Alligator mississippiensis: one gene and its partners. The protein of the gene in region 4 purifies or fractionates together with the protein of the main gene of each other region. This does not show direct contact. Links are inferred from orthologs where the notes say so. Each region holds a gene or a part of one and is shown on either strand. Other genes may lie near its edges. The genes, in order: APPL1, MIER2, ARID4B and HDAC2.

Region 1 (7,172 bases), on a different chromosome or scaffold from region 4:
CACAGCTTTTCTTTAGTACTGGCTACTGCTGGCCTTTTCAAAGGTCCATATATATATATTCCTGCTCTATTTTATTTGACACACATACTTTTTTTGCATTTTGACTGGAATTACAATTTTGATTAATATTTTGTTTAATAAGGTGGGCATAGAACTCCTAAAACATTCACGATTAAAAAACAAATCTCTTCACCTGTAGGAATCATTCTAGTCAAAATCGATCCGAGTCGGGGTGTTCTATTTATAGAAGCAAAAACATTTAGGATAGGGACAGAAATGACACAAAAACCAGCACAAGAGAAGATCAGTGCATATAAACTGCTTTCAAAATAGCCAAAAATGGTTTAAGGTAAATCTGGATGGAGGTAGTATCAGATTTAACTGATTTGGATTAAATCAGTTTATTGAAATTCTGTCCTAGAATCTCCTCCAGATTCAAGTTAATTTATAGTCCCTGAGCATCCCAGGATACTTTGTATCTCCCCCATAAACCCCTCCTTGCAGAGTGGGCAGGCTAGTCTTATCCCAAACTGTCTGCTCCACCTGAGCAGGAAGGCATGCTCTAGCAGCCCCAGTCTGTGGCCCGAGCCACTTCAGCTAAGTGTAAACAGCTTAAACTAACCTGTGAAGAATTAACTGATTCAGCCTTGGGCTTTTTGACTATCTATACGTAGCCTTTAAGAGATGGGGAATTTTGTAATAGGCACATTGCATTGTTATGCCCCTTCACAACAGTTTTATGGGAGTTCCTACCAGTATACCAATCTCCAGCAGCAATCTGGTTCATCATAAGAAGGTGGGAGGTCTATTTTGAAAGTTTATGCTAGTCTTCCTCTAAACAGAAGGAATGCTTTTCTAAAATGGTATTTCTTTATACAGGTAAATTGGATACTAGCTGATTTGTAACTTGATAATGTATAGTACGAAAAAAAGTTATGGTAGGAAGGAACTCATCCTCCCTAACAGTCAAGGTGGTTGGAGAAAATAACAGAAGATATGGAGAGGAGGAATCTTAGGAAAGGGGTGAGCCTTGTAATGCCAATACAAGAAAAATGCTTTCATAGCAAAGTTATGCAAATGTTGCTACCATTGTACTGACAATAGTAATCATAGAAGTTTTGGGAAAAAGTATATTGTAGATAAGGCAAATATGTTTTGTAGCGTTATCATTAACAGGTGACTAATAGGACTTGGGTAAAAAACAAGTTAAAAAAGGGATTTCAAATTCTGTTGCGATATACAAAACAGCACTTTACTTTACAACCACAGAACCATGGTTTGATATACCAAGTTCCTAAGTTTTTGTTTTTTGTAATTTCTTTGTCAGCAAAAAATGTTTGCAGCAAACTCCCATAGCAGAATGCAAACAAGGTTTTTGAACACAGGTGTCAAATGCTGATGAAAATGATGCTGGGGTGATGGAGTTCAGTAAGATTTAAATATGTAAGCCTGAATGGGGATGATCTGTTTCTTACAAGTCTGCAATCACTACATGGTGACAACAGTTTGTTTTTCTGGTTTGGAAAACTTTTCGTGTTCCAGGTCAAATTTAGCCAGATCAGTTCCAAATCCTTTTGATTGAGCAAAACTCAATTGTCCAATCACCGTATGTGGCACTGGAACCAGCAAGTATCCTCCACCCCAGACTTTTCAGCCTGGGGCTTCAGATAATTCCAAATCCATCGGCAGGCATCCTATGTGCAGGCCCAAGTAAGCATGTAGCCAAGATCCTCCCATTGGAAGCTGGCCAGAGGAAGCTAATTACAAGACTCATAGGGTGTCCTGTCCACAGTTCATTTGGACAGAGCTACACCTTCCACTACACAATGCAATTAAAATCCATTTTGGCTTGGGTACCAGACCAGTACAGTGACTACACTTGATCTCAGCTGACAAGAGGGTGACAATGTAAGCAAGGTTCAAAACCACCTAAGACTAAATGTAGAATCCTGATGTCAGGAACCTACAACGCTTGGTGGGGGCTGGGGGGCAGGGTTGTGGGATGTCATACACATTTTCTTGGGGTTGTTTTATTGATAGGACATGTGTAACTTCTACATATATGTAAAATCAAGCTGTACTTAGCGCTGTCATTATGTCTGCCTAAACTGTAGTATTAAGATACAAATGTGATGTTGACATATTCCTATATTTTAGCCAAGAATATTTAGTAAGGCAGTGATTAACTGGAAGGACACTTCTCACTGTAGGGAAATTAAGAGACAATGGGTGCATCTACATGTTCATTAATGTACCATAGTTAGTATGTATTAAGTTTAGTACTTGTATTATCAGGTACTAAATTAACAGACAGTAACCAGTATTAATGTGCAGTAGCACACACCTTCTTAGTGATGCTACTGCGTAGTAGCCTAATAATACTGCGCAGTAGCATATTACCATTAATATGCTACTGTGCAGTCAGTGTCCCATGCAGATACACCCAGTATTGCTAGGATACTGAAATAGTAATCTTTATGTCTGAAATGATGCAACTATTCCCCTGGTTTTAATTAGATCAGGAAAGATGTTTAGTTTGGTAAACATGTACATCCTGGGGTAGGGAAATGGGGGGCTGGGTAGGAAGTAGTAGTTATATGCACGGAGTGAGTTTCCTAAGAATCCAATGGGTGATGCATGTAAAAGACCATATAAGAAACCACATTCTAACTTTACATTAACAACGAGTTTTTGTCTAAAGCTTTCTGGACATAAGGACTGCTTGAAGGTGTTTAAAAAAAAAAAACCCAAAAGGTGCTTTACTTCAAAATCCGCATGCTCCTGCACCGAGCCCAGCATATGCCCAGAAAAGGCAGCACATTGGTTGGACCCAGCTCACCCGACATCTCTATAGTTCAGGCACTTTAGTGGGGCCTTTCTGGCAGCTGGAAAGCATAGCTGTTTGCTGCAGCTTTTATTACAAAGACAGGACATAACTTCTCTGATCAGCTGCCTAGGACCACTGAGCTCCAGCTGATCAAAGAGAGCCCTTTGAAGGAAAAGGCAGTAAAGACCTGAGTATTTCACCCTTAATTCAGCAATTTACTGCATCTTCAACTGGATGTGAACCGCCTATATAGGAATAATCTGAGTTCTACTGTTTTACTATAACTTTGCTAATTGGGGGGGCGGCGGGTGTATCTAAAATAGTAATCCTAACGCAACCGTTAGTGTGGATGCAGTTATACCAGTCAAAAGGTGTGATTGCAGCACACTGGAAAGGATCCAGCTCCCACCAAAATCAAAGCGTACAGAACTACTGCGCTTACCACATTGCGGTACAGCTGGGAGACATGGATGTTTTGACTGGAGAAGCTCTACCAGAGGCAGTTTCATGCCCAGCTCCTACCAAGGCGCAGATGGGCAACACGTTCCCAAGCAGCTCCTGGAGCACAGAGAAGAAAGGGCGACTACCCACGACACTGCTTTGAGGGCCTCCTAAAGGCATACTTGATCACACCCTCACGCACCAAACTCCATTTTGAGGTCTGGGCATAAGCCAGCAGCAATGGAGCACCCAGAGAAGGCAAGATGCAGGCCTGGACGAAGAGGCACCGCCACCAGGGCAGAGACACCAACAGCTGCATTGCTGGGCGACGGCTGTGTGATTGCACGGGCACTGTGTAGGTGTGCAAGGGGTGGCGGTGACAGTGGTGGGCACAGGTGTGCAGGTGATGGGTGTCTGGGTGACCGCTACGTTGGTGAACTGGCAGCTGTGCAGATGGGAGGTGGATGCGGCGGGCACCAGCCCCGCGGATGTGCCCACAATGGCAGCGTGGGTGACAGTTGCGTAACAGGTCCGTGGGTCCGCCAGGCGCTGCCTGTGGGACGAGGGCCACATGCGTGGGCGGGTGATGGCTGTCAGCACAAACGCCTCGGAGCACGGTCCATGTTGCAACAGGGGTATTTAATGGCCGGTGCCACCCCGAGGGAAGGGCACCGCCGGGCGGGGAGGGGTTCACGGCAGCGCGCGGCCCCCTCCCCTCAGCACCCAGCGCGGGGCGCACGCAGCGGACCCAACTCCCGCCCACGGCCCGCCCCGTCCACCCGCCCGGGCCGCGCGATTGGCGGCTCCGCCAGCCAACGAGGAGCGAGGCGAGTCGATAGAGCACCCAATAGCTGCTCGACGTCGCTGCGCGACGTTGGGGCGGGGGTGGGATTTCCGGCGGGAGCTCGGGCCCGGGGCTGTGGCCCCGCGGAGGCGGCGCCGGGAGGAGCCTGTCCGCGGGGGGAGGGGCCGCGGCGGCCGCCTGGGCGCACACACCGCCCCGCCCCGTCCCGCCGCCGCCATGCCCGGCATCGACAAGCTGCCCATCGAGGAGACGCTGGAGGACAGCCCCCAGGTGAGGGGGCAGCGCGGGGCCGGGGTCGGGGTCGGGGTCGGGCGGGGCTGTGCAGCGCGGCCCGGCCCGGCCTGCAGGTGCGGTGAGGGGCGGCCGCGCAGGCCCCGCTGCTGAGGGGAAGGGAAGCGGGGGTGCCCGGCGCCACCTGCTGCGAGGCCGCGCGTTGCCGCCGCCGCCGCTCTCCGGGCGGGGCCGGGGGGCTCCTCGCCTGGCGTCGGCCCCCTCCCCAAGATTGACCTGGGGGGAGGGCGGATTTCGTGCTTGCCAAGCACGTGTCAGGGCAGCGACCCGACTGGCCGGCCCGGCGCTGAGGGCGGCGCCCGGTCACACCCATTGCTTCACTTTTTTTGGGTGGGTGGCCGTGTTTGCCATTAGCGCTTCCCTCTGTCATGGGAGTTGAGCCGGGCCTGTCCCCCCCCCCAGCCCATGTCCACTTACCACTTGCCTTTTGGGCAAGTCCAACCTTGTCCCTTTTTTTTTAGCTGCCAGTCTCCAGCCACTCATTTTATTTCGACCTTCGTGTCATACAGCAAATGTCCCAAGCTCTTGGTAGCCCAGGCATGCAGGTGTTAGTTTGGGGCCAGGGGGGTTGGTCTCTGTTGTGTCCCCTGTAGGAGGACGTGGAGGCTCTTGTTGCTTAGGGAACTCGAATGTTGCCATCCAGATCCTGCCACTATTAAAATCCTTACCTAAAAAGCTGGCAAACAAGACTTTTTTTTAAAGTAATTTCTTTAGGGTTTTTCCTTTCCTATCTGTAAACTACTGACATCAGCACATCACTATGCTGTGCTGATAACATAATATAGTGCAGCGATAACATAGGCTGACAGAGTCCCTATGTTATTTGGGAACAAAAGCAGAGAGAAGTGTGGGCTACGGAGCAGAAGTTTTCAAAGGAACTACCATCGCTAGAGCTTCGCTTAAACGGCACTTCAGTACGCTGTTGCTCATGGGGGAGCTAGAAGGAGAAATGAAGACTGAGGAGTGCTGACCACCACCGTGCTGAGAACGTTTCGTTTTAATGTGCACTGCTTAAGATTAGACCCAAGTCATATTTGAAATACAGATCTGTAAATACTCTGCAGCCTAAGATGACTAGCTTTGATCTCTTCTTCTCTTTGCTGCTTTTATGTTTTCTTATTATGTATCGTGTATATTCTTATTCTACTCAACAGCAGAATATTTTCGAAAGTATTGTTGAACAAATGTCCTATGACTGTTCTCCATACAGGGAATGAAAGCTATGGCTTCATTTTAATGTGGAGTCCTCAGTGGTACAGTCCTTGCTTGATATGCAGGAGACCCAGGTTCAGTTCCTGGGTGCTTCTACACCTACAGCCACGGAGGCACCATATGTCCAGCCTTTGGATTGTGGCCTGAAGGGGAGATGGAAGGTCTGGGCAGTCTCCACTTCCAAACTCCTATTTGGGCATGTGCTAAAAGTCTTGGTGACCTGTTGCTTGCCAAACCATTTTAATACACATAGACAGTCCCAAACTGTACCCATATGCAGAAGGCAAGGCAAAGTGGCATCTTAGAGACTGCCTTCTGCTTGACTTCATACTAGCATCACTCTAACTTGTGTGTATGGATAGGGTAGAAAATGCCATCTTCCTAGTAAGTTTATTCCATGCATTCTCTGATGCTGCCCACCTCTAAAAACCTGTTATCATTTTGATTCTATTATTTCAACATTAAACACACAATACCGTGAAGCAGAATTTAGGTTTTTATTTCCTCCCACTATTATTATTATTATTATTATTACTACTACTACTACTACTTTGATGACTACTATTACTATTCGGTTGTTATGTCAAGAATGGCATTCTTCATTCAGCAGTGGGCAATCTCTGATGATTTACAGCCTAACAGACACATACTAATGTACATAACTTTCTGATGGAAAATCCATAGTCTGTTACTGCTCTCATTTTAAATGACGGAAAACATTTTGTTCTCTTAAACTGAGGTGGGGGGAATTCCTTCCTAATTTAGGACATCAGATATCAGCCTGAAGGGTGATATTTGATGTTCTAAATTTCAGTCTTTCCTTTTATTCAGTTGCAGAATTAGTCATCTCTCAACACGATAGAAAAAACCCATTAACTTCCGTTCAAGATGGGATCCACTCATTGGTATTATGGAGAATATCAAAACCACCATGAGATTGTTACTCAGTTTAGTAAAATGGTATGCTGTGTGTTATGATTGTTTAGACATGTAACATTAGCTCTTTATTTGATGCTCTCCACAAACTTATGGTCTGCCTTTGAAAACTGTTGGACTATAGAATAACCAAAAAGACTGGGAATAAAGGCCCTGTTCAGTCAAATACCTTAATCTAGTAACATTTTTCATGTTTAAGAGGAAAAAAAAGGAGTAATTCCCACCTCCATCCAAAGCCAGATGCAGTAGTCTCTTACATTTTAAAACTAAAACATTACAAACATTAGTACTGCAATTTGAACACAGTTTTATTTAGTAGTTATTATTTCTGTATAATCTCATTTTGTTTTGTCTGTGATTGGAAAGGAAATCAGACTCTCAATACATTTAAGTTTTTACCTCCTTTGCTTTCATAATAACAGTCTCATAATGAGCAAAGTGCGATCAAGTCGTAATATTTTCTCTTCAGCCTTATAACTATAAATTCTAGCTGTTATTTATAGACTGAAACATCTTACAACCTGATTCATTTTTCAAGCTGTACATGAGTGCTACAATAGCTTTTTCCTTATTACTTGCTCACATTTGAGTATGCTGTCTTGTTAAAGGTTGTGTATTGGGTATTAGCATGAAACATGCATACACAGTTCCTTTACACCT
Region 2 (7,893 bases), on a different chromosome or scaffold from region 4:
GGAAGATAATTGCAGCGGCGGCTCCAAAAGTGGCAGCGTTCTCTTTTAATTAGCACATATTAAGACCCGGATCTTTTGAAGAACCGAGCTGCGCTGACTCCTCGTCACAGAATGGGACTTACCACCATCCAGTAACTCATGCCAGAGTAAGATAAGAAAGTAAAGGTTAAAAATCAAAAGGAGACAAAAATCCCACCATGGATAAAGCAAAATGGATGTTCGCAGTCTCACGGGACTTTCTGACCAGGACTCGGACTCCTGCCTTCGAACAACAGTCTTAAAAACGTGCCTGCCAGGTTCCCCGAAGACTGCAGAAATAAAAATCACTGTTATTTTTACGACTGATGGCCTAGGCTACAGCAGGAGGTACCGACATACGAGTTTGAAGCATCCTTGGGTTTCTTTCCTTCATCTATGAGGAACAGCGACAACAAAAAAATGTCTGGAGTCTCCAGTGGAGCAGGCAAGGTGTATTGCAATTCGCCATCCCCCAGTGTCTGATTATAAAGCAACGATGCAGCCCCACTAGAGACCACGCTGTCGGCTTGTGGAGCCAGCCCAGAAGCTGCATGTGCTAGAAAGGAGGGGTTTATGGCAGGATAAAAGAAGAAAAGAGATGGCAAGGCTTAGGAGAGGCTTTATTTTGGAGTCATACCTAGATTTTAGCATACAATCACAGAAAATGAGGGTTGAAGGGACATCGGGAGGTCACATCTGGTCCAACCCCCTGCTCCAAGCAGGACCAGCCCCAACTAGACTATCCCAGCCAAGGCTTTGTCTAGCTGGGTCTTCAAAACCTCCAAGGATGGAGAGTCCACCACCTCTCTAGGTACCCCGTTTCAGTGCTTTAGCACGGAGGAGATGGCTTATACCCAAGAGAAGAGGAACTGTCCCTTCGTTGGGGACCAACGGGATGCAACAAAGTATAAAAATACTCTATAAATCAAGGTCTGCGGAGTAAGCAGCCCTGGCTGCATGAGGACGGCAGGGTCCAACCTCACGTTCTGCAGCCGCGAGCGACTTGCCCGATCTGTCTCCCGTTCCCTGAGGCAACAACTTGCCCGTGGACTGTACCTCCCTCACTGCGCTGTTGGGAGGCCAGCAAGGAAACGTGTCCAACACGACTCAAAGAGGAAGGCTGCTGTTGTAACTAAGGACTGAGTATAATCGTCAGGTGTGGACAAATTGATTGGGAAACATGTCAGTGAAGACCATGCAGTGAAATAAAGAGTAAAATGAGCTTATATTAATGATGCAAACCCATCATGGACACCTTCAGATCAGCGAGGATGGGGAAAGACTCAAAACTGAGAAGCAGCATGACATCAAGGGGAAAGGGAAGCTGGCCCAGGTTGAAAATCACCATGAAGACGGCAGCGATGAAGACCAATCTAAAGGTGACGGCATATTTGGACAGAGAAGGGACCAGAAGGACCAGGCAGAGCCAGCAACCTGCTCTCAGACCTCCGCTTCGACCATGTTGCACGTGAAGCACCACGATGACACATCCCATACATTAATGGGTGGCCGTGGTGAGGCCAAGCCAGGCAGGGCAAAGCGACGGGCTAGGAAGCGAGACCAGGCTGCAACGGCTCCAGAAGGGAAGAAATGTTGCGGACTGCAGTCGTCGCCATCCAACGGAAGATGATTTCTCTTGAAGGCGAAAGCTGTGGTCCGACACTTAAAATTGTACCGTCAGCTTGGCAGAAGGAAGCCAACAGCATGGCCCCGAGGTATGAAAGGCCACCTCCAGATCAAGGATGGCGTTTATCCCAGATGCAGCTGCTCCTGCCCCTGGCCACGCTGTATGCTCCGACTGCCTGCCCGACTCACAGCGGTCGTGTTGGGTTTTGAAAGCCCCCCCCGTGATGATGCTGAAAGCCGCTCTCTTGCCCACCAACCTGGCTGGCATCCGAGCCGCTTCCGACTTGCCCCAAATCGCCGCTTCTTCGGCAGAATCGAGGAACGCAACCGCCGACTAATTAATCGCTTACGCTTTTGTGTTTGCCATCTTAACAAGACTCAGGGGTCCCTGTCCCTGATTGCAAGGTCGAAAATTTTCAGGGACTCTGTTAAAAGACACAGCGACCACGGGGCTGTTTTCAAGCGGAAGGGGATTATGTGTCTGTCCAGAGCACCGGCAGAGATAACACCTCCGGCGGCCGCTACCCTGGCAGGGAAGTAGGGGAGAGCGACGGAGAGGGACGAAGAGAGGTTTCCCTTCCCATTTATTCCTCTAATCACTGTGATGATTTCTCAGGACACTTCCAGGCAGCTCATGGCTGCGCAAAGGGTCTCTCTCAACGCCGGCACATTGCAGAAGCGCTCCTCCTTGCTCCATCGCCTTGTCCACATTCCTGAAAGTTTGGGGGAAAAGAGGGCTGGTATTCCCCACGTGTCGACCAGGATCTGCGGCCCGGGCAAAGAAAGCGAGTATACGAAGCTCACTCGCTCGGTAACGTCCGCCTGGCAACTTTTGAGCACCGAGCTCATCAAAACGAACGAGGCAAAAGACCCTCTGACCCATCTTGGGCCGCGCAGCTGCGACGGGTTCACCGCGAAGTCCGGTTAGCAGGATGTCAAACGGTCCCCGGCGCCTCCTGCGCGCCTCATCACTGTACGCACACGGCTGCTGGGGGAGAGGGACGTCTCGACGCCTCGCGCTCGGAGGAACTCCTTGACGCTGCTGCGACGAAGTCCCGGGCCGACGTTTCAGCTCAGCTACGGGCGCAGCGTCCCCGCGGCTTTACCGGGGCCGGTGCGAAGGCCGAGCCGCGGTGGGAACCGGCTGCCGCTTGTTGCGGCGAATGATGTCTCGCGGCGGTGGAGACGACGGCCGGGACTGCGGCGCTCGTTTCCCCAAGCCCACGGCACAGCGAGGGTCTCACCGTGGACACGTCCCGCCATGTCCCCCGCCTGGCACCGCCGGCCGGACCCCGGGGGCTGGCGGGGGGACGGGCGGAGCGCGCCCCGCCGCGCAAGCGGGACGTCTCCTCGGCCGGACGGGGCAAAGCGGCGGCCGTGCGATGCCGGGGACCCAGCCCCCAACGCCCCCTTCCTGCCCCCCCCCCCACATCCTGCTGCCCTCGGAGACCCGTGCCCCCCCCCCCCCCCCAAAGACCCCACACCCCGGTTCCCTCCAGCCCCTGCTGCCCCCTCAGGAGACCCCAGCCCCTGCTGCCCCCTCAGGAGACCCCAGCCCCTGCTGCCCCCCAACCAATGCCCCCCTCCCCCGAGACCCCAGCCCCCCAACCAATGCTGCCCCCCCTCCCCCGAGACCCCAGCCCCTGTTTGCCCCCAACCAATGCTGCCCCCCCCGGGAGCCCCCGGCCCCTGCTCGCCGCCCCCCCAGGCAGAGGCCGGGGCAGGCCCGGCCCGGCCCCCCCCAGCACTCACCTCCGCCATGGCCGAGTGTGAGCGAGCGGGGCCGGGGGGGGGGGGCGGGAGCCCCGGATGCGGCGCGGGCCGCTCATTGGCTGCGGCGCCGGGAGGAGGGGCGGGGCCGGGGGCTGGGGGGGCTTGAGGGGGAGGGGGCTTGGGGTGTCTGGGGGTGGGGGCAGGGGAGGGGCGCCTGGGATGGGGGGCAGGGGGTTTGGGGGGCGCAAAGGAATGGGGTGCCTGGGGGTGGGGGGCTTGGGGGGCAGGGGAGGGGGTTAGGGGTGCTGAGGAGTTCTGCAGGAATGGGGAAGGGGTGGGGGGCTTGGGGGGGCAGGGAAAGGGTGGGGGGTTTGGGGGTGCCAGGGGGTGTGCGGGAATGGGGAAGGGTGGGGGGGCTGGTGGGGCAGCGAAAGGGTGGGGGGTGCCGGGGGTCTGTGGGAATAGGGGAGGTGGAAGAGGAGGGGGTTTGGGGGTGCCAGGGGGTCTGCGGGAATGGGGAAGGGGTGGGGGGCTTATGGGGTGAGGGGGCAGGGAAGGGGAGGGGGTGCCTGGGGGTGTGCAGGAATGGGGAAGGGGGGGCTTGCGAGGACAAGGCAGGGGTCTGCAGTGGGGGGGGGTCCGGCTGAGGGGCAGGGGGCAGGTCTGGGAGGGATGGGGACGGGGGGGCAGGTTGAAGGGGCAGTTTGCAGGTCCGGGGGCAGGGAATGACCCATGGCCAGGGGTCCAGGCAAGCCGGAGGCGGCGGTGGGTGGCAGCCCTTCCTGCACGCTCGAGTTGGTGAGCAGAGAGGGGTCGTTAGCCCTGCCAGTATGAAGGCAAGGCAGAGATGCACCTTACAGACTAACTAAATCAGAGGCGTATCAGCTTTGGCAGCCCTGCGCTGACTTAGGCACCTCTGATTTAGTCTATAAGGTGCATCCGTGCCCGGTCTTCTGCCCCAGGTGAATGCGCTTGGCCGGGGGGAAACGTAACAGCCTGGGTTAAACTGGGCGTCGGACGCCTGCGCTGCTGGTTCCTTGAGCTTTATGAATCTCTGAGCCCGACTCCACGAACGACAAGTCGTCCATACAGGAGGGAAGGGCCATCACGTAGGCATGAAGGGACAGCTTGCAAGGGCTGAAGCTTTGGGGTAGAGAAGAGCCAACTGGATAGCTGGCGGGAACCTGGGCCCAGCTTACGGCATCGAGGGTTTATGGCAGAGGGGCAAGTTCATACAAAATGAGAGGTCTGAGCAGATCCTCGGGTGCCGTCTGTTGGCCCAGCTGCACCTAGATTGCAAGAGAGACGCTCGGCTGGTGCAAATCATTTCTGGCTGGAAAGGCCTGAACAACATCATCTGAATTTGAGGCCTATTCTTGCAAAATGCCCCTTCATGGATTGCAAAGAGAAACCGGGAGCTCTCAGCACGTCACGGGATAGTGCCACGCTTAGGAGATGTCATTCGTGTTGTCGGAGCGTGTGCCGGGTTGGAGGCCTCTGAAAATCCCACCTGCTTCACAATGGGGTGGGATTTTCCACTTGCCTTTTGTTCGTGTCACAAGGGAAGTCTGGTGACTTCTGTCCTGTGGAATTGGCCTTTCTGTGGCAGCTAATGGAAGGCCACAGGGAAACCCCCGATTAAGAGCTGAATCTGGCACCGGGTTTGAAAATCTGGATCGTTCTGGGAGCTACAGTCATCCTTTAAGTCTCCAAATTCACCTCTGGTGCAACTCCACCCATTTTGGCCTGTGGACTTGAGTAACATTTGGGCTAATGTTTTTATTCAAACTCTGAAACAAATCTGCCCATCTCATAGCGTCAGCGAGACTATTAAGGGGATAGATAGTAAGGTATTGGGTAATGGGCATGAGAAATATTATTTTTTTAGATATTGCAGCACTCCTGTTCATAGACCCGGAGAGAAAAAAGGGCAGCTTGTCTGCAATTTTTGTGTGCACCTATGCAAGTAAATTCATCCTGATGCGGTGAATGAGGAATTTAGCATTTTGCAGGCATGGTACAGATGTAACTGCGTGTTAGAAGGTGTCACCGCCTCTGCTCAAACTCCGTTTTGACTCAGCACCTCGTACAAGTTAAGGTCTTGTCTGCACAAGAAAGTGCTCCCGTTTAGCTAAGTTAATTTGTAAAGTGGTTTAGTTAAACCGCTCCCACCCTCTTCTGATAGCCACTTATTCTAGGTGAAGAGTCTGACTCGGTCCTATACCTCCCCAGTTTCAGCCCAATCCATACAACCCCCTCTTGAACAGATTGAAGGGGTTGCCACGCAAACAGGTTGTCCTGATTTAACTCAGTTGGTTTCTAAACTGATTTAATGACGTGTAGATGCACCTTTCTCATGGAGGCAAGTAGTAACGTTGTCAAAGGCATCTTCACTGAGAAGCCTGAATCCAGTTTTTTAAAGGTCTGGGGAAATGATTGTGTTTGAGTCCACCAAAAGTTGAGTACAGAGGCTGCAGAGCAGTTCTGGGTGGCAGAAGGGGACGTGCTGGTTGATGGCTTCTTGTGGTGGCCATGCCAGTAACCTGCAAAGGATGTGGTTATAGAAGCTGTTATGTGGATTTTCTACAGCAAAACCCTCCTTGCAATCAGCTCTTGTTTAATCCCACCTGTCTCCAAGGCTTTTCCTAACCAATGGTCCCTGCAAGGGGACCCTTGTATCCCTCTGTGACTCACCATCGCAGTCAGAGAGCCAATTGTTTCTCCGTGTACAGGGCGCGCTAATGAGGAGCCCGCGCTGCTGGGGAGCAGCAGTGGAGCCGTATTTGGACTCGGAGCTGTATTTCCTACCAGACCTCTCTATTTGATGATGGCTAGTGAAGCGGTTCTGTACAGCTTAATTTCTCCAGAGGGTAGGTCCAGGTTTGCCACTAACAATAAAGATTCAGCCGTTGAGATGCGCTTTATTAGCATTCAGTCATTACGGGAAGATTTCCTACCCCGCGGCCCGGCAATTTGCTTCGCCTTCGTTTTCACTTATGCATTTGAGCTTGGGAAGCAAAGTGCTATCAAGTGTTTCTGAAGTGATGGCGACCGCCCTTGAGCAAGGAACCAGCCCGCTTCAGCAGACCGTTATCCCGTGGCACAGCAGGTCCGTCTGGTCCTACTCGAACGGCTTCGACAGCTCACAGACAGTGTTTATTCGATACAAGAGGAACCCCAACCGTCTTGCTTTCAGACATATTTCTTATATTTCATAAGAAATATTTCTTATATTCTTCTATATCTGCAAGAACTACTACTGTCTCTCCCTCCTGACCACATTATGTGCCTGGGCTTTTATGGCAGCAAAAGCGGGAGGGGTCTGGAATTTGGATCGGGAATACGGCTGGATGAACAAGTCCACCTTTTCCTGTTAGCGATGTACCTGTGAATGGACTGGCTAATTTGTTTGCTATTCCCAATGACTTGACACATGGTTCATACCAATTTATTCAATCATTTCTCCACAGACCTTCACTTTTGTCCCGTGACCGACTGACACGGACACACGCAAAGAGCACGTGAGTGGGCCGCGCATCAGGATGGGCTGCGAGCACACGTATAAGCCCATGTTCACCCATTGACATCTCTTCTTCTCATCCCCGCAAACTCAAATTTACCAGCAAGGGCATGAGGGGTAGCTACGACTAGAGCAAATTCATAATGATTATTCATGTTCATACTTGGTTGCAGCATTTGTCTGATTTTACCCCAGCATACGGCTGCTCAGAGATATGCATGTTTTGCTGACTCCGAAGCAATGCTTATGACAGTTTTAATGACAGCAATGGCAATCGTTGGCCCATCTCTTGCTCATAGGAGGAGAGGATGGGAAGCTTTTCAACAGACTGACCCAGTCTGCCGGTCTGCCATCAGGATCATCGTCTACCCTCCTATCCTTCAACCAAACCCCAGCCACACTAATGGGTTCCACGCAGACGACCCAGCCACAGGTCACAGATCTACATTAAAGAACATTTAATTTGCAAGCAACAGCATTTGCAGAGAACAGCACGTGATGATTTAGAGATGCTTCGTTCTCAGCCTCCGAGGAGTACTAAGCTCCAAAAGCCGGGGACTGGCTTGTGCGTGCTGGGCAGCGCCGGACACCTTGTAAGGGTTGTAGCCCTCGAAGACATGTTTTCGGACTCTTGGGTGGGCAAGCTTAGAGACCCTTGCAGATGCCATGGCATTCTTGGCTCCTGCAGACACAGGCCATGGGACTAGCTTTTCGTGGCGGTAGCTTGGATGTTCCATTTTTGGCTCTACAAGGAACAAATCATGGGGTAGAGAAAGAAACGGCTTGTTAAAAGGACTCTGAGATTCAGTATTGCGAAAGGTCCCAAGGCTTGCTTTCTTCCATGGGAATATATTTTTGGGTAGGATCTCACAGCTCTCAATCATTACACTTCGCAATGCCCTGGAGAGATGGGTATTTGGGAGAAACAAGCACGGGGAAGGTGAAACATCTTGCTAGGATTCGACTCTAGAATTTGATTCTAGTATTCAGGTCTTCCGACCCCCACACCGGTGCTG
Region 3 (7,779 bases), about 54 Mb from region 4:
GTTTTCATGTTTGACTTTGGGTTTTTATCATGGAAAAAAAAATCAGAGCCAACTGTGCCTCTTTCGCTCACCAGGACGCAGGTCCAGGCCCTTTACTCCCCAGCCATAGCCTCCCCCCTGCCCTGCCGGCACCCCTCACCCCCCAGCCACAGCCCCCCTATCCCCCAGCTGCTAGGTCTACAGGGCCAGGGACCCAAGTCCCCGCAGCAATGCCTGAGCCCCAGCTGCCACCTGCAGAAATCAGCAGCTGCTATGGCAGAACAGAGTGTGGAGCCCAGGTTCCTCCTCCTCTGTGAGCGGCACAGCTGGAACAGAGCCCATGGGGGGGGGGGGGGGGGGGGAGTGTGGATTGCCCTCTGCAGGCTCAGGGCCTGCCCTGCTGCCCCCCCAACCCCGGGCCTCCATGATCCAGTGGAAACCCAGCAGGATAGAGCAAGCCAGGCAGGGAAGCTTGCTGCTGCAAGCTCTGCACCACTGTGGCGAGGCCCCTCCTGCCCACCCAGCAGCAGAGAGGGTCACAGTTCCATGCCACTGCCCCCACTGCTGCTGAGTAGGCAGGGGGGGCTCTGCCAGGGTGGTGTGGGGCCTTCAGCAGTAAGGAGCTTCCCCACCCAGCCCTGCTCTACCCTGCTGCACTGCGTCCCACCTGCTGGGCTGGAGGCCCCCAGGCACAGGGCAGCAGGATGGGCAGCTCGCACCCACTCCTTCACATACACAGATCTGGGGGCCTGTGTCCCGCATGTCCTTCCCGGGTGTGCATGTAGTGGTGGGGAGTCAGTCAGCCCTACAGTCAGACGAGCCACCCAGGGTTCTGTCCTGCTCCCTGCCCGGGCCCTGTAGCTGTGCATTCGGGCCCCAGGCCTCAAGCCCCACACACTGCCCAGCTGGGCAGTAGCTCCAGCCCCGGTCCTGCCCAACTCCCTCCCTATGGGGGCCTCAATTCCTGCCCCACCTCCACAGACTTTACCTTCCTGAGCTGCTTTCCAGGCTGCCTGGTGACCATGCGCGTGTGTGAGTGTGCACATGGCGCCCCGTGCCTGCCCTACTCCTGTTCCTTCCAGCCCCTTACAGGCCACAACTTTGCTAGCCTGCAGCAAGCACTTTTCAAAAAAAGTGGAAAATCTGCATTTTTTTCCATTTTTACATGGCAGATGGAAAACCCAATCCCTAGTGATTAGTCACCATTGTGTTTGTCCGCATTTTCTTGTTTTATACTGTTCTGCACAGTGCCAAACCCACCAGAACTCCTTACCTGTATAAACAAAGCTATGTACAATGGTATTTATTTGTGCTGTTTTCCCCCCAGAGATTGGCTTTATTCTACATGAACTATTACCATATTTCAGAGGAATACTTCCTATGAATATGCTATCACCTGGCCTGAAGCCGACACACAAGCCTTGGCTGACCCTCTGGAAATATTCGGTGAGCTAGGTACAGTTGAATTTGACCACAAAAAATATTCTTGTGCATGACTAAGCAACTCTAGTTGAAGAGAGCAATAGAGAGATCAAAAGTTCCAGCAGAAGATACAGGTCAAGCTCTGAACAGACTATTTCTGTTCAAGAGCTAGACCAGGTCTTCAGTGCTTGCACTTCCTTTCACCAGAGATGTAGTAGATAGCAATAGTCTCTTTTGAATGCAGTATTGAGGGAGAGGAAGAACATTTGCATTAAGTGGACAGATCAGAAAAACAAGGTACCAGCCCAAGAAATGCTATGCACAGTAAGGTTATGACACAGAAAATGCCGTGGCTTTCAATTAAAGAAAATCTACTCAGAACTCAATGCAACTCGAGACTGGATAGACATGTAAAATTATGTGAATTGATATGCATTTAAGTCTATGATAACAAATTTGTTAAATAGAACAGAACAGCAACAAAAAAGACTTGCCTGGTAGTTGAAGTAAGTACTTGTAAGGCTCTAAAAGAAGTCTTTTAGATGTTTGTTCCGCCTGCTCCATTTCGGTGTTAAAAAAGAAAAACAGTGCTTCACCCTGTTAAAAGGTTAAGAGTTATTGTTACAAATTCAGATTAGAGAAATTAAAGAGAGAGACAAAAAAAAAAAAAAAAAAATCAAAGTGAGAGTCAAATCATTAGCACCTGTTTAGAAAGAAGGAGAAAAAATAAGCAGGCTTCAGATACTCAGACCACATGTAAATGTTCCTTTAAAGGCAGCATTTTCAATTATCACCAGCTTTGCAATACAAAAGACTAATGGCTTTGGCATTATTAATAAAGACATAAGGAAGTCTCAAACTTTTAAAAACTGAAACCTACTTTTGAAAAGTCAAAGTTATTTTAAATTAAGGCTTATTTTTTGAGTCTACTTTAGCTTCTGTGACTTTGAAGTACCAACATTATAAATATCTCAGATAACATTAAAAGACAGCAACATGTGTGTCAAGCACCTATTTTTCATCTGGGAATTTTTTCCTGAAGTTTTTCTACTGGACAAAAGATCAGTGTCCCTTCCCACCCCCTCCTTTTTAAGAGACATTTTTTAAATAAAAAGGGAAATTATAGGGGCTTCTTGAGCTTTTTGCTTCAGTTTTTATTCTTTTCCATTTCTCTCTTTGTGCCATGTCCTGTCCTTTTAGGTTTAGCAATTTTGCTTTTTTCCCCCCTTTCTCTTCTATATCATACTCTTGGATGCGTGTGTCAGGTTCTCTTGCTGTCATTTCAGACTCAGCTTCCCTGGATAGTTCATTCTAGGACTTGTTTCCCTCAGTTCATGCCCTCCTCTCCATTTCCAGGCTGTAAGCATTTCTGTGATTTTCAGACTCCTTTCTAGAATTCATTTTCCCTCTTCTTACCTCTAACCTTTGTTGCTGCACTGCAGATAGAGCAGGTCAAAACTCACCACTTGCTTCTGTCATGGCAAGACTGGACCTGCAGTGGTGGCACGAAGTTCCGTGCCACTCCAACAGCAGTTCTTACCTGCTGGCAAGCACCTTGCAAGAAGCCATTTCCTCTGCCCTAGTAAATGCTGTCTAGTTGCTACCTTACCAGTAAAGCAGGATTATTTCTAGAGTACATTAAGAAACATCAGTACCATATATGTTTTGAGAACAGGCACATCCAGGAGACCAGTTAAAAGAAGTCTACATTGTAGAGTAGATTTAAATTCATCTTTAAGTGATTTGATAATTGAAAACTGTTTATTGCAACTGTTATTAAACTACTGTAAGTTAATATTAAAACAAGCATTAAACAACTGGAAGTTAGTTAATATCAAAAGTAGTGTTAACTCCTTAAAACCCTCCCCGCAAAAAACACAACACAAAACATATGACAGCAAGTGGGAATGGGGGAGAGAGAGAAAGAGAGAGCGTGACACCAGGGCTTGGCAAGGTTTTCCAGGCACAAAGGAGGTCTCATGCTTAGGCTAAGCTGTGGAAGAGCACGGGAGAAGTGCCTGCCTGTCCAGTTACATATAACACAGGCAATGTCAGGAGTGCCAAAGCCCCCACTCTGCAGAATGGATCCAGTAGTTGGCGACTTGCAGGCCATGGACTGCCGAACCTGGGTGCATACGGTCTTGCGCTGCCAAAATGGAATTTCGTGGGACTTTGAGAAATAAGGTACCGATCAAAGACAAGGAAGGCTACCGCAATCTCCCCCCAAAATAAGGATACAAATAGATTTAAAAAAAATAAAGTCAGAACAAAGATAACATTGGAAAAGGGACCACCGTGCTGGGACACCCTTTCGCAGCCGTTAGGCCACCTGAACCCCACAAAGAGGGCAAGCTAACGCAAGTGAAACCGGGAGGTTTCACCTGGTGGTTCAGAGCCCGAGAAGCCCCCTGACAACATCCCCCTCTAGAAGTAGGTGCCTCTTCCTTCTCGGGGCCAAGTTGGCAAGCGCTCCCCACAGCAAGCGACACCACAAGGCTGCCAGTCCTTACTCAAGGAGGGGGGATGGGGGGGTGGGTTGAAGGGCGCTCCAGCTTGCTAGCATTTGGCAAAGAGGTCTGGCCAGAGCTCCGGCCAGAGCTCCATAAACATTTCCCCAGCCTGGCCCCATTGCCACCCCCCTTTCCCCAGCCTGGCCCCTCACTCCCAACCCGCCACCCCCACGATGGGGATCCGCTGATGCTGGAACTCCACTGGGGGTCACGACCCAGTTTGGGAACTGCTGCTTGACGGCGACGCGGGCCTGACGAGTGAGATAGCAGGGGCGGGAGAGCCGCCATCTATGTCCCAGCCGGCCACCAGGCACCAACCAACACCTACCGCGCGCCCGGCCACTCCGTGCAGAACGAGACTAGCCCCCAAGTACCGCCCCGCACCCGGCGCCGCCGGACTTCAACGCGAGGAGAGGTGCCGAACCCCGGCTCCGCGGGGGGCGGAGGAGTAGGGAAGGGAAACCAGGCTCCACCCCCTTCCGCCTTCACCGCAGCAGCTGCCGCCACCATCGCCCGTTGGGGGAAAATGCGCCACCAGAGCCGCAGCGCGCAGGCGCAGGCGCGGGGCCCGCCCCCACTCCGAGCGGCGGGGCCTCGCGCGGTGCACCCTGGGCGGTGTAGTCCGTCCGCCCCGGCCCCGGCGCTCGGAGCGGCGGGGGAAGAACCGCAGCTCCCGCGAGCCTCCGCGGCACCGAGTCGGTGTTTCCATAGAACTGGGGGAAAACTGACGTCAACCTTTCCGAAGCGGCGACCAATGGCGGCGGAGGGGAGGCGGGCCCTGGCGGAGCGCGGGCCAATTGGCGGGGCGAGAGGGCGGGGCCCGCTCCGCCCGTCAGGCAGGCAGTTGGGGAGAGGGGGGAGGGGCGCTCGAGGCTTGCAGCGGAGCGTCGCGGAGTAGGCAGCGTCGTTGCGTCCGGCCGGGAGCATCGGCCCGTGTGTCGCAGAGAGCCAGCGGGGCCGGAGCCTAGGGGCGGCTGCGCTCCCTGTGCTTCCGCCCGGGCCAGGGGAGCTGCGGGCGGCCGGCGCCGAACAAAGGTAACCGGGGGGCCGGGAGCGGCCGGGGGTGGGGGAGGGGCGGGGGTTGTTTTTCTTCTCATCACCGGACTGCGGCGGGAGTTGTCCCCCCTCCCCTTTCCCGCTGCCCCTTGCGGGGAGCAATGCTGGGGCCGCCCCCCGTGCCCGGCGGGGGAGCGGGGCTCGGCTCGGCGGCGGCGGGTTGTTGTTGTGGCAAGTTTCTCCTCTGACAGAAATGGCGTCAGCGGGCAAGGGGGGCGCCGGGCGCGCGGGTGGGCCCCCTCCCCGCGCAGCAGCTGCCCGGTGCGGTGTGGCGGCGGCTTGAGCGCTTTTGTTTTGCGTTGCAGGTCCGACCTGGGCCGCGCTCGGGGGTTTTACCGCAGCCTGAGCTCATCATGAAGGTAACGCGGGGGCCGGGGGGAGGTGGGGGAGGCGGCATCCGCGTCCCCTGGTGTCCGCCCGGGCCGGGGACAATGCGGGTCCTGGCGGGAGGGGAGCGAGGACATGGCGGCCTGGGTTGCGCTGCGGAGGGAGGCGGTGGCGGCCGCAGCATCGCAGGCCCCGCTGTGGGGGGGGGCGGTGGATGAATGCCCCGCGTCCCGCTGTATGAGCCGCCCCGATTGGGGGCGGGGGGCGCGGGATACTCCGCAGTGGGGCCGGGCTGGGAGGCGCAGCAGCCGGATCATTTTTCAGGCAGCTTTTTTAGTTTCCTTTTCAGACCATTTGCCAGGCACTTTTTCTCCTTCTCCTGGCATTTGTTAGACCCTCGGTCCTCAGGCTGGCCAGGCTTCAAGGGCTGCTTAACCTCTGTCCGGATCTGGTTTTTGGTAATGAATCTGGCTTCTGAGTCCTAGTTTAACAAGTGCGATTTAGCAGGGTTTCCCCTTCTTCCTCCCCTGAGCCTCGGTGATGGCAGGGCCTCCTTTGAAAGGCTGTTATTGGCCTTGCTGTGTGGCTTAGAACATGCAATCAGGATCATGCCCCTATTGTGCTGCAATGGATCTGGCTTCCCAGCTTTCTAAAAAGCTGTCGAACGCACTTGCTGCATAACTGCAGGAAAAAGAGCCGTGGCAGACCGCTTGGCATTCACGCGCAACATATCAGCTTTGTTATTCAGCCCTGAGCGCAGTCGCCTGCTTCTAAAGAGTCATGTCCTTTCTGGGTTCTGGACAGCTCTTGTCTGTGCAGAAGCAAAATGAGTGCGGTGACATTGTGTTTGTGAAGTGCTGGAAATGGTAGACGGCATATACAGCTTCAATAACTAGGTTTAGTTAGTGATGCTAAGCACAGCAGTTAGTCTTGTCTGATTAGTTAAAGGTTCAGCACATTTCTCCTGGTGACTAATGAAAAAAGAACCTTCAAATGTACACTTGGAACTGTGCTTTCCTATGTTGTTTGGGTTTTTTTTGTGTGTGTATATTTTTTTTAACTAAGCTGAACTGATAAGTTCTGAGGTCTTGCACCAAAATGCTTATTGGATAAATTGGTTGCTTTAAGTAAGAAAAGCAATAGTCAGACTTCTGCAGTGTGATATGCAAGTTCCCAAACTGTGGTCTGTGGAGTGTTGGATCAGAACACAATGCTTGTTCGAATTGGGTTACTGAAATGGATTGAGACAAATGGAGAATTAAATTTAGAGCAGGAGGAGACAATATAGTGAGGTCTTTTTCTCAGAAGAAAAATAATTTATTTTAAAGATAGCTATATATACACACCTACTTTTTTAATGTTACTTTTTCCACATAAATGCTGCAGTTACCTTAGAGATTGGTGCTCAGATAGAGTGGTTATTGGAGTCATGTAAATGTGTAGATCTGCAATTGCTGGAGTTAAGGAAATCTAATTCTGAGTTGGAGGGTAAAGTGTGCTCTATAGTAGAGTGAGAAACCTCTCTTCTACCTCAGCTGAATACAGAGCAGATTATTACAACTTAAATATCTCTCTGTTTTATACATCCATAAAGTCTGTTTATAGATCCATATTTTTTTTTAAAACCTGCATGTTTCCTTACCCTTTAGTAAGATTTATACTACTATTGTTAAAGGAGGTTTCATTTTTTTTTTATCAAGATGGATGCTGCTAATGTTATTGAATACTGAATTTGACTCATTTGAAAATACACTCTGATTTGTTTCTGCTGATTCCTAAACTTCTAGATGTTTGGGATGAACAAAAAAACGGAGCCTAGTTTCTCTGGAAAATTTAAATTCAGACTTAAATTTGTGATTTAATCTGGGAGCTGCTAGTTGCACTGAAATTTTTTACATTTCCAGCATGAAAATGTTAAAAGCTTAAATCTTAAAAAGGATTTAAGATTTTACATCATCCACTGAATGATGCAAAATTATAAACAGCCATACAAGACACAGCTTTTAAGTTTGTAAGATTGCAGTGGGAGGGAAGTAAAAGAAGAGAATTTTCAGGTAAACAATTTTGTCTGTCTGCCCATTTCACTGTAACTGGATGGCTGATAAAAGAGAAGATATGACTTTTACATGACTTTTTTTTGTTTGTAAACAACCAGAAGTGTGTGATTCTGGGCACCTTATTATTTAAAGTATCAAGCACCAAGAGCTTATAATGAGTCCTATAATGTGGTACCTATTGCAGGGCTGGGGGCTTAAGTTGTCATTTTATACCTTAGTAGTTCTTCCTTTGGGTGCAGGGATAGTGTGTTGTACCGATTGGTGGATTAGAGGGAGGATGTGAGGTGTTCCAGGTTTTGTTCTGAGCTGTGCCATTGATTATTTATGTGACTCTTTTGAACATGTCCATTACATTTGCTGTACCTCGTTTTTCTCATCTGTGAAAAGAAGAAGGTTGGATTTTTACACTTCTGTGTAAAGGACTCTGA
Region 4 (7,909 bases):
GAAGAGTTTTAGACACACCAGTAGATATCAACTAAGATTTAGTCTTAAAACTCAAAATACGCCACATTAAACTATAGCACTTATGAAGGCACCCCTTTTATTGTGGATTTTCTGATGTACATTCTTTACTCTGCTGCTGCTTATTTCCAGGGAAGCAAAGTGAAAATAGAAAATAAAACTAAAAAAAGAAGAGTTTACTTCTATACAGAAACTTCCATGCAGCCATAAAAGATTCTCATAAATAAAAACTAATTGTGTTTGCATGCCATGCACCAAGAGATAGTTACTAATTTATCTGCTATAGTTTAGGGTATTTTTATACTATTAATTTTTGGTTACTTAAGCTTCTGGGCATCTCCTCTCTCCTCCCAAAACAGTTAAACTTTCCCTACGGCTAAAAAACGTTATTAAGATCTATGCATTATTTGGCCATTTAAATTAACTAGCCAAAAGATACAGAACTGCTTTGATTTCTAAGAAAGCAATTTTGACCAATATCTTTTAGAAGGAAATCTGAAATAACTGCTGTCATTTGGCATTATACAAATAAATACTAGAGGCCAGATTAATTCCTTTTGGAGTGAGGATACCCAAAACAGGACTCAGTGCATCTGGTCCAAAAACTGCAATAAAAAAAAACACCCTCCTTCTCAGTGGCCACCTAACCATGAAGGTATCAGAAATCATGGGCTACCTCCCTTTTTTTGATCAGAAAATTCACTAGATACTTGCAATGGTGCTTCTGTGACCAAAACTGCCCTGCCCTGAGCAGCCAGACACCTAGGTCTTATATGCCTCATTGAGACTCAAAAACTAGACAGACTGACATTTAAGTCCTCAAAGAAGCTTGAGCAAGCAGGTTCAGAAACACTAACAGAACTGCATTCAGCACAAAACACAATGGCCACCTTCACTTTCCATGAAAAACGTGGCAACACGAGAAAAGAGGGCAGGATCACCAAATTATTATACAAAAAACGAGAGGTTAAAAGAGAACAGAAAATAGCAGATCAGGGATACAGGCCCTCACGTCTGAGGGGATTCAAATCCACACCTCCCACCACCCAGATCAGGGCCCGAAACACCAGGATATATACTAGGCTGGGTGTGGGCTTCTTTCATATGACCAATTAAAACTGAACCACTCAGCAGCAAAGATCACCAAATTCACTGCATCAGGAAAGCAAACAAGAGGGAGCAGGACTCTGCCCTAGGAGGTAGGGTAGCCCAGAAGGAAATGCTACCTTCTCCTCCTCTCTCTTCCATGACTTTTTATACATGTCACTTAAAAAAGTCACTGGACTAAAGGAGAGAGAGAAATAATGCTGAGACCAAGGACTCAAGACTCCTTCCTCTCAGGTGACAGCCTAACCTATTAGGAGATAAGAGCAGAGGTTCTCAACTGGGATGATGTGGTAGAGGAACTGCTACCACTTCAGCCAAGTGGAACTGCCTTGTATGATTTGGGCATGGCCAGATTAGAATGGGCTGCGGCACAAGCATGTGCCCCCACCTGTATTAGGATTATGTGATAAACCTATGCAGAGGTGCCTTGTCCTGCTATAGCCCTTCCTGGTCTGATCCTTGCTGGAACCATCTTAGCCACCTGTTTCCAGCAGGAGTGGCAGGGGAAGGAGGACCAGGAAGTACTGGGACAAGAGTAGACAGACACTCCTGCCTGCTTTAGACGTATTGGGTAAACCTAGTGCAGGCAGGAGTGTGCATTCCTGTCATAGCCCTCCCTGACCTGGCTCTACTCAAGGCATACCAGGAAGCTCCACCTGGCTATGGTGGCATCAGCACTCTGGTTGAGAACCACTGAGGTAAACTGAGGCACAACAGAACTGTGGTTCTCAACTAAGGTGCCACCACATTAAAACAAAAGTTACGGAAAGGTTGCTCGAATCTAACAAAAAAAAAAAGTTGAGACCCACTGCTATGAAATGACATTCCCTCTAGCGTTCTCTCCTGGCTCTATGAATATTGCATTGCTTTCTGTGTAATGGCCCAGCTTCAAAAGAAGCCCTCTAGCCTAGTAGTTAGGGCAGCCCATTAGGTAGCAGGAGATGTCTGACCCACTTGGGCTGAAGGATACATAACGCAGGTTTCCAACTTCCTAGGTGAATGCCCTAACAAGTCGGCTATTCTGTAACAGCAGGGCAGCAGCACCATCATCATCACTTCCATCAGCCACATCATGAGCAGCTTGAGCTCCCCTCAGTTCCTTGAATTTTTATAAGCACCTATCCAGGAACATGTTCAAAGCTCTGATTCCTGAGTAAACAGAGGCAACCTTGGAGCCATGGTTGTAATTTAAACTCAGAGAGAAAGACACATTCAGACACGTATGAACTTAGCATTTCATTCAGACTAACCCTAAGTGGCATCTTACTCAGCAGCAGGGTTTTTCACTTGCTCTCCCAAGGTACCTTAACCTTACATACTGTATAAAAGAGACTAAGGTCTTAATCCTGGACTTCAGATTCCACTTTCCAGACACCCAAAAAGTCAAGTTTCCAGACATTTAAAAGGCCTAGCTTATGGGCACTTATGTCTTTTATTAGATCTGGTGCTAACAAACCAGCTATTAGAAATGTTCTAATACTTTTCAGTTCCCTACTGCAAAATAAGCAATTTTTCTAAGACAGCTCAATTATAGAAGGAACACATTTGTCCAGTTTTAAATTATACTCACTCTAGCCTATGACTTCTATTCATTCCTGTCTATACATACAAGTTAATCAACCAAAAAAATCTTTCAACAATTGTTTTTTTAGCAACTTGCATCTTTCAAAACATTATAGTTTAGAAAGATTTAGGAAGAGCAATCATCATAGAGAAAGATGACCATACAGAGCCAATTAAATATGAAATAAGCAAGACAAAACAGCCACGTAAAAAAAGTCCATGGACTCACCAAGCAAATGTGTATTTTCATGTAAATCAGAAGTAGCAAAGATCAACGGGATCATAGTTCAGCATCCTGCCAGTGCAAAATTGTTCCTTACTCTAGCACTTTTTTAAAGTCTCACCAAGATAAGTTTATCTACTATGTAGGGATTCAAGCAACAGTGCTTGCAATTGTTACACTACTATAATGCCAGAAATATTCCACTCGAGCATAATAATTCTTAACCATGGGTACTATGAGATCATTTTAAGGATTCCATGCAATAACACCGCTATTACATATGCAAACACCTACACAATTCACAAGATAAACCCAGAGATTTAAAACTGGAATCCATAAGCGTCCAAACCATTTGGACTTGAGTTATTTGCAACAAAAATAATTCCTCTATTATTTTTTCCATTGTCCCAAAACAAGGGAAAGCTAAGAGCTGGTATTTCCTGAGGGGTGCCCAGAGGCTAACAGGTTTGAGAACCACTGCTCTAGCAAAAGGGTACCTAGTTTTATCAAGCAAACTTTGCTTTCCCAACATATTTTGCAAACAATTCTATTAAATTAGCTGCAGATATACAAATACAGCATACAGAGCACTTCTGAAATATCTTTTTGCCAAGATAGAACACCATTTACTCTTTTTCCAGGGAAGTCGTACCCTAGCTTCAACAAAATTCTCCCTAACAGTGGCCTCTTTCCCCCCTTATGCTGAACAAAGAACCAGAGCAAGCAACAAAGAGAAGGGGGCGGCAACCACCACTCAGCCTCACTTAGCATGTTAGAAACCCTGAAGAGGCCCCACCAGATCTGCCATTTCTGAATAGCGGCAGACATATCTGCCACACCAGCACGCATTTGGCATCACCTTGCGCTAAAGCCAAGGCTCTTAAAACCCTAAACAGTAGCTGACTAAAAAATAAGAATCGCAAAGCAGGCTCAACGTCCCCAGCACTACTGCAAACACCAGAATAGTGGCCCATCCCCAACAGCCACTCCCAGCTTCTCTGAGATTGTTTCTGGTGGAAAATTAGACATAAGCAAATCATTTGCAGCTGATCTGACCAATAAAAGTTTAGCTGTAGGGAAACGTCCCCCCCTCTCTTTCTATGGCTTGAACCAAAGATGGAGGAACTGATGCAAACATGAAATTAGATATAAATTTGAGATCATAGCTTTGGCATTGCTGATCAAATGGATCAGGAGGCGTTGCTCTCTGAACACACCGACACCCCCATCTCCCTGGCCTGAGCATGCACCCTGCCAGTACCACTCCTGCCAGCCAGTTTCATAGGCCATTTGGCGTTTCACCCGGAGCAGATGCAGATGCTACTTGGCAGGATATGTGAAGGGTTTTGGCACTGTGTTTCTAGGATAGTGAGACAAGTAAAAGTAGAGAGCGGAGCACACACTTGTGACTGGGGCTGCCTAGGGGTCTAGCCCATGGCTAGCTAGGACCTGCCTCTGGGAGCCCAAGACCCTGGGGCTCTGTCTTGAGGCATCTAGGATACAACTAAAGGGAGGGCGGTGGCGCTTGCCAGTGTGTCCCTGCCTCTGGCCTGCCTCGCACCTCTTCCTGCAGTGGTCGGGGGCTAAAAATCAGTTGTCTGGTCTAAGGTGGGATACTGGGGGCTCACTGCACCAAGACAACCTCATTCCTTTACATGAACCTAAAACAGCAGTTGAGTCTAATTAGCTGTGCCAAAGACAAAGTTAAACCCTGATAATGTGGTCCTTCATACAGGACAACGAGCTTCAGAGGGCTGGGAGGTTTGATGGGGAGAGGGAAAAATAAAAGTGATTGGCTAGGGCCAATCAAACCAGCTGCTGCTGTTAGCTAGGTGAAAACCCGGCTGGTGGAGACACACACAGAAATACACATGTGCAAGCATTCGGACACGCTTCACAAACACACTGTGCACAGACACCCGTGCTCTCAGCCCCCCACCCATTTTTGCAAATATCTAGTTGGTCTAATAAAAGATATCACCTTTGTCATGAGTTTTGATTCCTTTTGCTTCTACACCAATACGGCTACAACCTGGATACCTCACCCCCTACCCGCCCCCCCCAAGCACTCGCAGGCACATACATAGATACCCATATGCAAACACACCTTACACACATGCACACAAATACATATCCTTCTCACACAGATGTGAGACACGCATGCACGAATATGCCTAGATGCACTGGCACCCAACCCCCCTTGCACACACACACGATGCTTTCCCTCCCTCGCCCACCTTGCACACACACAACTACGCACGGACACATACTCTCTCACCCCCCACGCAGACTAGCACGCCTGCACTCTCACATACAAACGTGCACACACGCCCACCCCCCGCGTACACGCAGACACGCACAGACACCCGCGGTTTCACCCCCCCGTGAAGCAGTGAAGCGCGGCAGCAGCTCGAGCCCCTCCCCCCGGACGCGCCTATGTGGGGCAGGGCGGGGGGGGGGCACTGCTCAGCTCCCTCCCCCCCGCTCACCGTCGTAGTAGTAGCAGACTTTCTTCTTGCCGCCGCCCTGACTGTACGCCATGGGGCTGCCGCCGCGAGGCCGGGAGGAGGAGGAGGAGGGGGGACGGAAGCGTCGGCGCGCGGACGGGCGGGAGCGGGAGGAAGCGGCGACACCGGGGCCGGGGGCAGCGCAGCGACCCGACCATCCAGCGCGCGGCACGCGGGAGGGGGGGAGGGGGAGTGCCCACTCTGCACCCGCCGGGGGGGATGCGTGGAAAGGCGTTTCCTTGTCACTCCCCCACTCCCGTTAACGCATGAGGAGACTTGAGAGGGGGGAAAGGGGGACGCGAGAGAGAGTCAGGGAAAGAGCGAAGCGCCGCCGTCACTTGTGAACTCGGCGCAGAGCTCCGCCTTCCCTGCCCTCCCCCCCAGGGCGGCACGCAGTGGTACAGCCCGCGCCCTGCCCCACCCCCTCCCTAATGGGGGGGGGGGTTGAAGCGCAGGCGCGAGGCCCTCTATTGCCTCTGGCCTGCGTCACGTGGCTGGAGGGAGGGGCGGTAACGGCACGTGGCTCCGCCCCCTCCCGCGCACGCTGGGGAAGGGCGGAGCGGGTCCCCCTTGGTCCCCTCGCGGGGGGTCTACCCGCCCTGCTCCCAGGGGCGGCTGGAGGCGACGGGGCGGGCAGAGGCAGGTGAAGGGGGCGGCCAGGCTGGACCCACCAGGCCCTGAGCCTCGTCTCCCCCTGGCAATGATGGGGGGCCCACGCAGCGTGTCTCCCGGGGGCGGCCACCCACCGCCCTGCGTTTCAGTTCTTCCTACATGCCACCATGCAGCCTCGAAGAGAGCCCGGGGGCCGGGTCCAGCTGTACATCTGGGGTACGAAGTACCCTTGGGTAGGGTCACTAACCCTCCCGTATTGGCCTGATCTCTCCTTGACTGTTGAAAGCAATCTGAGAGATTTTCAGAAAATAAAAGTAATGATGCTATGTCACATTGTGGGGAGGGGTAATCTTCCAGAACAGCTTTAGTCAAGAGTTGGCAATGCTACTTCTGGGAGGGGGGCTGCAAAAATTGGGCTGCCCATCATGGTACCTGGAGATGCTTACAAGTTATGATTTTCAAATCTTACAAAGACACTCAACGCCCCCCAGCCCCCAACCTCCCCCATAATTCAAACTGTGCTGGCATCCCACCCTCGGGTGCTTCCCGTGGGTCTCGGCGTGGACCCAGGGGCAGCTGCCCACTCCTGCCACTCCAGGGCTGTGCCACTCGTGGTGCCCGCTCCAGCACACGTCTCAGAGCAGCTGCCATGTGCACCGTGACTCCGGAGCAGGCACCCACTCTGGCCTCTCCGAGACAGGCTGGTTGGACTGGGCCCCGAGCCACTCAGCTGGCCTGTTGGGCTGGATGAGCTTGACACCCCTGGATCAGCACAACCAAGGATCAGCACACGTATACATCACATGCAACTGCACCAATCAAAGTAGTGTCCCCCCCGCAGTGAATACGAAGCTGTATTGCTATAAGGGGCTTGCACAGAAGTGTGGGGAAAGTAGCTATTTGGTTTTAGAGGCATCGTCCTGGCCAATAGGGAATTGAGAAGATGGTAGGCTTCTGTAGAGTTTAGGTTATGGTTTAGATAGGGCTGATCCTGCCTCAAGCAGGGGATTGGACTAGATCAGCATTTTCAACCTGTGGGTTGTGACCCAAAAGTAGGTTGCAAGAATATATGAAAGGGTCATGAACAAATTTTAGAAACGGATTCTCCTTTAAAGGAGAAAAACATGGGAAACATGGCTTTTCCCTTGTAGGCTGGCAGAGTTCCAGGCTGCCAGGGGCTGCTTGGGATCCCCATGTCTCACATCCTTCCCCCACCCCACACTGGGGGACTAGGGCCTGGGGTGGGGGCAGCAGGTCGGAAGTGAGGGGCACTGGATTAAGACACTTCATCAACATTTACAAATGGATCCTGGTACAGAAAGGGTTGAGAACCACTGGACTAGATGACCTGTGGAGGTCCCTGCCACCCCTGCTCCTCCATGAGTCTATGGAAACCAATAGAGAACACCAGAATAAAGACAGGAGAAAGACCTGGCAACCAGATGTATCTGTGTAGTAGGAAGCATATGCTGATGGGCAAGAAATAGGATGTGGACAATATCACCTAAAGCTGGTTTAGCAATTAGAGCTAGGATGAGTACGATGTAAATGTGAAGTTGTTTTGACTGGTGTATAAAAAGGGGCTGGGGAACCCTTAATACTTTGTACTGGGCTTTGGGGTTATGTTCATGCCTGTACCATGGCTGCAAACAACCTGGCTAGCACCATGGACTGGCTGGTCATGGATGTTAGTGCATAGGTAATAACTTGGCCAAGTTTTTAGTCACTCCGACAGGATGAGTGGTGTGCCAGTCCTTTTAAGAGGAAAAGCATCGAGGGAGCTTCCAAGTGGTGAGAGGGGCTGATTAGGGACTTACTTGACTGGAAGAGGACCCGGCTTGAGCCATATAAGCCTCTGGCCTGAGCCAGTCAGGTAGTC

What was found.
Region 1: the proteins of HDAC2 (region 4) and APPL1 purify together in Homo sapiens (co-immunoprecipitation; 3 studies listed by BioGRID and IntAct, with this or other methods). This does not show direct contact. The link is inferred for Alligator mississippiensis from reciprocal best matches to the Homo sapiens genes HDAC2 and APPL1.
Region 2: the proteins of HDAC2 (region 4) and MIER2 purify together in Homo sapiens (affinity purification with mass spectrometry; 3 studies listed by BioGRID and IntAct, counting the BioPlex papers as one, with this or other methods). This does not show direct contact. The link is inferred for Alligator mississippiensis from reciprocal best matches to the Homo sapiens genes HDAC2 and MIER2.
Region 3: the proteins of HDAC2 (region 4) and ARID4B purify together in Homo sapiens (affinity purification with mass spectrometry; 4 studies listed by BioGRID and IntAct, with this or other methods). This does not show direct contact. The link is inferred for Alligator mississippiensis from reciprocal best matches to the Homo sapiens genes HDAC2 and ARID4B.

The regions. Positions count from the first base shown.
Region 1 is NC_081835.1:21,255,439-21,262,610, reverse strand, and holds the start of APPL1 (DCC-interacting protein 13-alpha), read left to right. Parts: upstream 1-4,166; 5' UTR 4,167-4,289; coding exon 4,290-4,343; intron 4,344-7,172. UniProt on the Homo sapiens protein: Multifunctional adapter protein that binds to various membrane receptors, nuclear factors and signaling proteins to regulate many processes, such as cell proliferation, immune response, endosomal trafficking and cell metabolism.
Region 2 is NC_081839.1:3,693,423-3,701,315, reverse strand, and holds the start of MIER2 (mesoderm induction early response protein 2), read right to left. Parts: upstream 3,014-7,893; 5' UTR 1-3,013. Other genes in the region: SPMAP2 (testicular haploid expressed gene protein), read right to left, coding at 7,381-7,622. UniProt on the Homo sapiens protein: Transcriptional repressor.
Region 3 is NC_081824.1:153,085,648-153,093,426, reverse strand, and holds the start of ARID4B (AT-rich interactive domain-containing protein 4B), read left to right. Parts: upstream 1-4,771; 5' UTR 4,772-4,946; intron 4,947-5,272; 5' UTR 5,273-5,320; coding exon 5,321-5,326; intron 5,327-7,779. Other genes in the region: GGPS1 (geranylgeranyl pyrophosphate synthase), read right to left, coding at 1,896-1,998, 4,296-4,421. UniProt on the Homo sapiens protein: Acts as a transcriptional repressor. May function in the assembly and/or enzymatic activity of the Sin3A corepressor complex or in mediating interactions between the complex and other regulatory complexes.
Region 4 is NC_081824.1:99,432,507-99,440,415, forward strand, and holds the start of HDAC2 (histone deacetylase 2), read right to left. Parts: upstream 3,001-7,909; 5' UTR 2,973-3,000; coding exon 2,918-2,972; intron 1-2,917. UniProt on the Homo sapiens protein: Histone deacetylase that catalyzes the deacetylation of lysine residues on the N-terminal part of the core histones (H2A, H2B, H3 and H4).